2 linked regions of the Arabidopsis thaliana genome follow. The protein of the gene in region 2 purifies or fractionates together with the protein of the main gene of each other region. This does not show direct contact. Each region holds a gene or a part of one and is shown on either strand. Other genes may lie near its edges.

Region 1 (4,179 bases), on a different chromosome or scaffold from region 2:
TATGATTGAGTACTTTGATCTGTTCTCTCCTGGCTCAATGAACCGTGTTTTGTGGAAGTCTGGTAGACCAGAGAGAGCGTGAGCGGCGATCTCATCACGCTCTTGCTGGTTCGATGGGAAGGTGCAAGCGGCTCCTGCTGGGATGATCTGGTCGGTGTCTATGTTGTCTTTCAAGACATAGCAGAGGCCGTGGAAGGTTGTGTTGGCTAGGGCTTCGTTAGAGTCGGATTCTGAGGCGGCAGCACGTGGGATGATGGTCGGGGAGGATGTGCCACGTGAAGTGATGGAGATAGAGGAGGGGATTAAGGAAGTGGAACCATTGAATCTTAAGAAAGGAGATCGGAAGGTAGCCAAGGAGGAAGAAGTTTTGGTTGACGAGCAAGGTAAGGCTTGGGGAAATGTAGGAAGAGAATACGCCATTGTTTCTTTACTTTGTTGAGTGAGTGAGAGAGTTCACGATGAAAACAATTTAAAAGGAGAAATGTTTGTACCCTCCTATTTACGAAAGTGCCATTCAGAATTCCAAACGTGCGTTTTGATATACTTAGGTAGGTCACAGTGAAACAAAGACTCTAGATACGGATGCCTAAAAAGAAGTGTTAATATTTCTCTATACTATATGACAAAAGTGTGTTCGATCATTGTGTGAGAAAAACAGAGCTCCTGTTCTGTTCTCATGACCAGAAGATTATATTAGTGGAAGACATGAGAGAAAACGTCGTTTCAAATGGGATGGGAAACTATGCATTTTTTTAGCAGCTGATACATCCAAATGTAAACAAGAAACTGATACTGAAGACTAAAGCCGATAGTCATATATATTCATAAAACATAGATTAGGTTCATAAGCTTTTGGAAACATTACATATTCTTATTATTGGATCAAGATCCTTGAAGTGACTCTCATGCACTTCCATTGACACCTGCAAAACAAATAGAACAAAAAAAGGAAAAAAAAAAAGGAGTCTTAGAGACAAAATAAGAGTGAAGTATTGTTCTACTATCGGACACTCAAGTCTTAATGGATATGAGCATGGAAAAGATCAGCCAACATCATAACTTTTACCCTCCCAACAACTACAATCAAGAGATGTACAATCTAGAAATTGAACCAATGGAAAGATAAAGTAAGTCTTAAGCGAAGAGAAAGAATAACAAGTCATTATCAATCTCACACAAAAACTAAACCAACACATTTTAAACAACACAAAACTAGAATCCCAACTACTGTGTTCTCTTTCTCTAACTAGAACCATTGAAAACTATGTTTTGCATCGTTCAATTCAATGTCAAGCTTCCTAGACTATTCCACAAATTCGATCTCAATCCTAACCTATTACCAATCCTCATCATCATCATCATCAAGTTACAGAATCATACCTGAAGTCAAAATCAAGCAGCAGCAGATGGAATCATTCCAGCTTTCCTAGCATAAGCAAATATACCACCAGCATCAATCACTGGTCCAGCATCACCAATCGGCTTAAGCTTGTACTCTTTCCCAGTCGTATGATTGATCAAAATACTATCTCCTTCCCTCAACTCAACAGTCGCAACATCACCAGTTGTACACTCATCACAAACCCTAACTTCAGAATCCAAAGGATAAACCTCACCAGTAGCAACAGAGTTCCTGAAAAAGATTCTAGCATAAGACTGAGCCACCACTGCTTTAGCTCCCGCTGCTCCTAAACAAACCGGAGCATGTTCACGTGACGATCCACATCCAAAGTTTTCACCGCCAATGATGATTGAGTACTTCGTCTTCATCTCACCTGGCTGAACGAATCGTTCCTTGTAAGAAGCTGGAAGACCAACTAAAGCGTAAGAACCGAGTTTCTCGTATTCCTCTGGATTCGAAGGGACGAGAGTGAGAAACTCCGCGGGAATGATTTGGTCAGTGTCGATGTTGTCGCCGACGACATAGCACAGTCCATGGAAGGTTTTTCTTTCTTGTGGCTCGGCGGCGGAGCGAGTGACGAACGATGAGGATGCTTCTCGAGAAACTAGGGGTTTGAAATTGGAAGCGACGGATGTTGAATTGAATCTGAGAAATGGAGATCGGAAGGTGGCGAAGGAGGAAGGTTTGTTCGGAGAAGCTAGGGTTCGTGACAATGTAGGGTTTGCTGATTGCAGAGAAGCCGCCATTGTTTGTTTCTCTTTGCTGTGGTCAAGATTGAAGCAAGTCAACCAAAATGCGATTATAAATAGAGACTTTGTTCTTATTTACCAAAATGCCACTCTCCTTCGTTATTTCGGTGAAATGATAGTTAATTCTTTTGTAACAGTAATTGTTTTCTGTGTCAGTTATATGCTAACAGTAATTTAGAATTTGTTGGAGAGGTTAAAATGTAAAACACATTCATATTGATTTACGTATGTAAATGATAAATTCTAAAATTGAAGGGTCAAAAAGAGAGTAAATCAAAACTCTGAGATACTATGACATTTTTCAATATAAGTCCCTGTGGTTTCTTTTTGTTTTAAAAAGTTTTAAGTAGTTCTTCAAGAAGTAGCTTTTTGCCTCATCCATTTAGTAGCAGACCACTTTTCTCCAGACAGAACTTCACATCCTCCATGTATGCTCCTAGGATCTGACTGTCCGTCGAGTCCCTGAATAACACAAGAAGTAATTGAACTCAAAGCAGTCCAATTGATTCATGTTTGTGTAGAGACATAGAGAGAGAGATTGAAGAAACAAACCATGCTCCAGAAGAGAACTGCGTCTCCTTTGGTGGGTTTAACAGAGATGCCTTTCATGATTTTGCCACCACAGGTGCAATCACCATCACCAGCCTGCATTTCAAGTAGAGAGAGAGAGATATTACACCATTGGTTTATTTTGTTTTCTGAAATTTGCATGAACAGAGAGAAAGTGTTATACCAAAGGGAAATAAGTTTCTCCTCCTTCGACGTCATCAGTTAGATACATAAGCATAGTTGCTACGCGCTGACCACCACGCTTTAGATTGAACTGTGTAGCAACCATAAGAAAAGAAACGAGGAAATATGATGAACACCCACAATAAACGTACTTCCAAACTAAATGTTCTAAGATGATGAAGAAGGAGAAGATGAAGTACAGATCCAACTAAACATTATTGACCAAACCAAAAGTTAAATACTGTAGCCTCTTTTTAGTTTTTTTTTTAATCAGAGCAAAAGCTTTCTTTACCAATCTACTAATGATATATATATATGAAAACAGAACCAAAGACTTACAGTGTCAGCAAAGTAATCGTGATGTGGTTTGTAAAACTGCTGCGGCTCATATCTGCACTGCAGCAGATTTTGATTCATCAAAACAAGAAAAAAGCTTCGTTTACTTTAGATTTAAAAAATAGTAAGGTTGCGGTTGTGCACGCACCTTAGAACTTGAATAAGTTCTCCATTTTCCGCTGGTACTTGAGAAAAGACTGCAATTCGCTTTTCAATTGCCTAATAATAGCAAACGAAAAGGAATATAATTTACAAAATTGTAAAGTTGATCAAAATGGCACGCCTTTAAAAGATATGAGAGAGTGACTTACCTGTATTATTGGATAACTTCTTTCTACATGAGTTAGAAACATTCCGGAGCTTGTCCTCACGTCACTTTTAACTCCCTAAGCAAGAAGAAAGTGATAAGAAAATGGAAGAGTATGGTTAAGACTTTGAAAGCATAACTAGAATATGTCTACTATGGAAGAGAATGAATTAGACTTTGCAGGCAAACCTAGAGCGTTTCTATTTGTGTCCAATGTTTGATTGAAACAACTGAACAATCGAAGGCAGAGAGTGGATGTAATAGAAATTTTACTTCTTCTACAGAACTAAAAGGAAGGTATTGTCCAATACCTTTCCGGTTTTTACATCAACAACAGTGGAAACTTGAAGGCGAGGCCGGGCGATTGCTTTTAGGTATTCACATTCCTGCAAATATACATATCAGGAGAAACAAGAAAACTATTTTAATGGGAAGACAAAAAACAGCCAAAAGCTCTTTTGCTAATTCTTATGATAATACTTAGAACTGAGCCTAAGATTTTGCTTTTCTATCAAATCTTAGCTTATCCTTGCTAGAATAAAGATGATATGAACAAGTTTTTTCTCTACTTAAAGGCCTAACATCAGCAAGAACAGACTATTCTACAATCAGCTAACTCAATGAACTAGAATTTATTAGTGGGGGGTGTATAT
Region 2 (5,091 bases):
GTTATGTTTTCATCTGGGCTTGCTTTAGTGTTGTTTTTTGTAAGCTAGGCTTTTCGTCGAACAACTTAACGGCGTTAGGCTTAGTAGTTTTTGGGGCATATTGTTCACTTTTTAATACATAGAATCGTTACTTGTTTATTAAGGGAATTATTGGTTCCGTAATGGCTTGATATGTCTCTGATGTGTAGTTGGAAGATATGAAGATGAATGAAGCATCTGAGAATGTTGCTGTAGAATTGGCTGCACAAGGAGTTATAGGGAAAAGGGTTGATGAAATGGAATCAGGGTTTATGATGGCTCTTGATTACATGATCCAACTTGCAGACAAAGACCAAGACGAGAAGGTAAACCAATTCTGCATTTTCCCTCTGAATGTACACAAAAATATTTCTAGAATTGACTTGAGTTTTGCTACATAGAACGACCAGGATAGCTAGAATTGCTTTTGCAATGTAGTGTAGCAAATATTACATGTTCTCTGGATTTTATGGCTGTTGTTAGTCTTGCCATTAGTTCTGTAGCATAAGCTGGGACAAAGGATTAAAGAATTTTTGTTTTGGATTCAGAGAAAGTCTTTACTAGAGGTCGTCAAGGAGACTGTCTTATCTCATCTCACCAAGAAATGCCCTCCTCATGTGAGTAATATTAAGATTAGTTTCTTCTTACTTTCTAAATTTTTCATTAGCTTCATTTCATGTTTTTAATTTTGTGTAAGTGTTGCTCCATATTTAGGTCCAGGTGATTGGTTTACTCTGTAGAACCCCGAAAAAGGAAAGTAGACATGAGCTTCTGCGTAGGGTGGCTGCAGGTGGTGGGGCTTTTGAAAGTGAGAACGGTACTAAACTTCATATACCCGGAGCAAATCTGAATGACATAGCTAATCAAGCTGATGACTTGCTAGAGGTACTTGTGTTTGTTTAAGTATAGATATCAATCTGTATTTGAGATAGTTTGAGAATGTGAACAAGTCTGAGGATTTTTGCAGACTATGGAAACAAGGCCAGCTATTCCGGATCGAAAACTACTAGCGAGGCTTGTTTTGATTAGAGAGGAAGCCCGGAACATGATGGGAGGAGGTATACTTGATGAAAGAAATGACCGAGGTTTCACTACTCTTCCTGAATCAGAGGTTTGTGTGACAAACTATTATGTCCATGATGCTGTGTTTGTGAACATTTTTTAAACATTGAGATACAGTGACTTGTTGCTTGATCGTCAAACAGGTGAATTTCTTAGCCAAATTGGTAGCTTTGAAACCTGGAAAGACTGTGCAGCAGATGATCCAGAATGTAATGCAAGGGAAAGATGAAGGCGCAGATAATCTTAGCAAAGAAGACGATTCTTCTACCGAAGGAAGAAAACCAAGTGGATTAAATGGAAGGGTAAGTATGATCAAGTGACACATTGTTTTGTTAAAAGAGAAGACTTTTTCAGTAGGCTCTGAACCAAAGATATGTCTTCTTTTCTTACTTGGCCTACTTGATGCGATCTCAGGGAAGCGTTACAGGAAGAAAACCGTTACCAGTAAGACCAGGAATGTTTCTAGAAACTGTCACAAAGGTATGTTTCCAACATTCCTCGATCCCCTATGTTCAACAGATGATAGTAATAGAGAACATTGACCACTTTTTTATGTGATGTTTAAATCCAATCTTGATAGGTACTGGGAAGTATATACTCGGGTAATGCCTCCGGGATAACAGCACAACATCTAGAATGGGTAAGTTCCTCATAACACCAAAACATTTGCAACCAAAGTCTCGTTTCTTTGCATTCATCATAGTTTATTTCTGTTCACAGGTTCACCAAAAAACCCTCCAAGTTCTTGAAGAAATCGCTTATTAGTAATATCTTTTGTTACATCAAGAAAGACTCGCAGGTAGAGATTGCGTCCTGAAATAATCTTGATCGGTATATAATTTGTAATTTGGTTGGTTGATATGACATATAATGTCTCTCTACTAAACTATGCACATCCATTAAACCTCAAAAGTTACATGTGACGTAAAATAAAATTGGAAAGGGATAGAAGAAAAAAAAGAATAATGGTAGTGATATTAACATATCTTTAAACCCATTCGAAACGGATGGGAAAAAATAAAATCGTAACTTTTGTCCTATGTGTACCATTCAGAGTTACACAATGATAACAAACTAAAATATTTGATGACACAGTATATAACAAAGATTAAAATATTCGAGTAACCAATTTTAATTGATTTCTTTCCAACGGTTTAATAGAGGAGACATGCGAACGAGACACGAGTCCTATAGGGTAGTAAATGAAAAGTGATTAGTAGGGGCATATTCACGTAAATAAATCAAAAAGTAAGGGTAAAAATCCACGGACGTGAGAGCAATTGTTATATCCATTTGAAATCCTCGTCAGGTTACACGAAACGATTCCGCTTCTCCGCTTCCTTCATAAATATCTCACTCATCGTCTCTAGATTGTTCTTTCACACGCAATTTTCATTTCTCTCTTAACCGTAAACGAATCTCTCTTCTCAAAGTTTTATTTTCTCTCTGCGATGGCTCAAGAAGATGTTACTGCTGTTGCTACTAACGGTGCTGGTCCGGTGGAGACGCATCTTGTCTTCACTGAGTTCAAGCAGATGTTGCTCGTTGAAGCTCAAAAGGTCGGTGACGCTGTTACTTTCTACAAATCTGCTTTTGGTGCGATCGAGTCTGGTCATTCTCTTTACCCTAAGCGTAAGCTTGACCAAGAGCTTCCTCATGTTCTCTCTTCTGAGCTTAATCTCGCTGGCTCTTCCTTCGTTGTTTGCGACGTTTCCTCTCTCCCTGGTTTTTCTACGTAAGTCTCTCTCTCTCGTTTTGGTGTTTAGCTTCTAGATCTCCATGTTTTCTGTTTTTTTTTTAGGTTTTTGTTCGTTTAGTGTTTGATTTCGTTTTAGATCTGGTTTTAGGTTGTTTTATTAGAAGAAATCTGGAGAATAAATCATGTTTAGAAGTTATTCCTCTCCCTTAAACACGATTTTTTTGTTCGTTTTAGATCTGGATTTAGGTTTTTGAAATGAATAGTTTTTGGAAACTTTTATAACGCTTAAAAAACTATTTTAAGTGGATGATTGTGCCTTTTCTTAAATACGATTACTGTTTACTTATGTGGTTTTGTTTCTTTTTTAAATCGTTAAACAGTGCGAAATCGGAAGGTTCGGGAGTGACTTTTCTTCTCGGAACTAAGGATGCTGAAGCCGCCGTTGCGAAAGCTGTTGACGCCGGAGCTGTGAAAGTGGAGGTTACGGAGGCAGAAGTTGAACTGGGATTCAAAGGAAAAGTTACGGATCCTTTTGGTGTCACTTGGATCTTCGCGGAGAAGAAGACCGTGATCACCGACGAGAACAAAGAGGTTTAGAATCTGTCGTCGGATCTAATTCTTCGTCGGTTTCTGAACAAAAAAAACTATCTATTATCCTAGGTTTATGCTTTTATTTTGTCTTTTGTGGAATCCGGTAATCAGTAAACCGGATCGAGTAGGCTAATGACTTTCGGATTCTAATTTCACCCCTTTTGACAAACTCTAATCTTGGTGAAATTGCATATTAATCTCGGGCTATATTATGTTTTGTTGATGATTTCGCTTCTCTATCTATCTTCTATAATCGTTCTGTGTTTAATCTGTGTTCTTTGTCATTTTTGTTGGTTTAGTACTAAGGGTATAATCGTCTATTTGGAATGAAAATGAAATGGTTAGTGATTAGATAAGACGGAATTAAGAATATTTGTTGTTTTGGTGTCAGAGTGTTGAATACTGTGTCAGAGGTAGTGAAACCATAAACCTCTGTATTTGTGCTTTGTGGTTTCTCTCTATCGCTTATTGGTTACATATTTTTCGAAATTGCCCTTCCGTGTTTGGGCCTTGTGTAGTTTTCGATTGGTCCTCTTTCTTTTCTTTTGACCAGTTTTTGGGGTTAACCCATAAACGCCATTTGGCAGAAAATACGATTTATTAATAACATCCGATATTTAGAATAGGAGTAATAAAAAACATAAACACACGTATACAGAGTCTTTTAACAAGTTGGGGCGTTGGCTAGACCACACTGTTTGGGGAGAGCAGAAGCGAGTTCAGGATCAACACCGAAAGAACCGAGCCATGGAGAGTTCTTGTAACCACAAAGACATGCAAAATCAGCGTGTTGCAGAGCGGTGCAGCAAGGCTGTGATGGGCTCGTCGGATTCTCCTTGCTAACCGCTGGTTTGCACTCATTCAACTCATCCTGGCTCATGCCGCAGAGATCTATCGCTACTGATGTATCGACCAACATAGCCATTATCACGATCATCGCCATCATAACCATAGCTGCTTTCTTGCTCGCCATATTATTATCCTCCTCTCTCTTTTTCTATATGTTTGTTTGTGTTTGTGGTGTTGAAATGAATGTGCATGAGAAGGTGTATATATATCAAGTTTTAGAGAAACCCGTGAACCAGATTGGATTGCTCCATATAGTCACGGGGATGTGTTTTTCCACTTTACTTTTGGGAGAGGGTCTTTTGTCATAGAATCATAAGCTTTCGGATTCTTATCAATTATCAAGTATCGATTACACAATTTCCAGTCCACAAATCTTTTACTACAAATGGAAAAAGAAAATTCAACTTGCACATTGTATTTGTATATAAAATTCTCTTTTAATCGAAAAAAAACACATTAATAAACATCCGCAAAATACTGGGCCTGATATGAGCCCAAGTAAGAGTACTCTAAGAAGTTTCACAAATTACGAAAATAAAACAGTTAGCGAGTATTACTGTTAAGTGTCAACAACAGTTAGCTACTTTAACCACAAAACAAATGAGAACATCAGTTAGTATATAAACGGGACAAAATATAGAACGAAGAATAAATCCAAATCTCTAGATTCTCAATTTTTTTGCTGTTCTATTTTCAAATAAATGTTTTATTTTCTTTGAGAATTTCAGTCCTATTAGTGTAATTAGTGATAAACTCATAAGCATGGCACATACGAGATGATTATTTGGTCTACGAAATGGTTTAGTGGATTTAATATATGTATTTTTATAGTTGATACTTTTTCACCATCTAATCGTTTTTCAACTACAATT

What was found.
Region 1: the proteins of AT5G48480 (region 2) and AT2G43090 fractionate together in Arabidopsis thaliana (co-fractionation; one large-scale study listed by BioGRID). This does not show direct contact.

Annotation. Positions count from the first base shown.
Region 1 is NC_003071.7:17,916,926-17,921,104, reverse strand, and holds AT2G43090 (Aconitase/3-isopropylmalate dehydratase protein), read right to left. Parts: upstream 2,180-4,179; 5' UTR 2,149-2,179; coding exon 1,393-2,148; 3' UTR 1,381-1,392; intron 924-1,380; 3' UTR 609-923; downstream 1-608. Other genes in the region: IPMI2 (isopropylmalate isomerase 2), read right to left, coding at 1-420; AT-P4H-1 (P4H), read right to left, coding at 2,506-2,613, 2,704-2,796, 2,885-2,974, 3,223-3,274, 3,368-3,438, 3,531-3,605, 3,838-3,912. UniProt on the Arabidopsis thaliana protein: Catalyzes the isomerization between 2-isopropylmalate and 3-isopropylmalate, via the formation of 2-isopropylmaleate. Plays an essential role in leucine biosynthesis.
Region 2 is NC_003076.8:19,642,283-19,647,373, forward strand, and holds AT5G48480 (Lactoylglutathione lyase / glyoxalase I family protein), read left to right. Parts: upstream 1-2,256; 5' UTR 2,257-2,531; coding exon 2,532-2,815; intron 2,816-3,159; coding exon 3,160-3,376; 3' UTR 3,377-4,034; coding exon of another isoform or gene 4,035-4,343; 3' UTR 4,344-4,558; downstream 4,559-5,091. Other genes in the region: AT5G48470 (uncharacterized protein), read left to right, coding at 189-344, 567-635, 733-903, 986-1,129, 1,224-1,382, 1,495-1,560, 1,661-1,720, 1,801-1,845; DIR1 (Bifunctional inhibitor/lipid-transfer protein/seed storage 2S albumin superfamily protein), read right to left, coding at 4,035-4,343.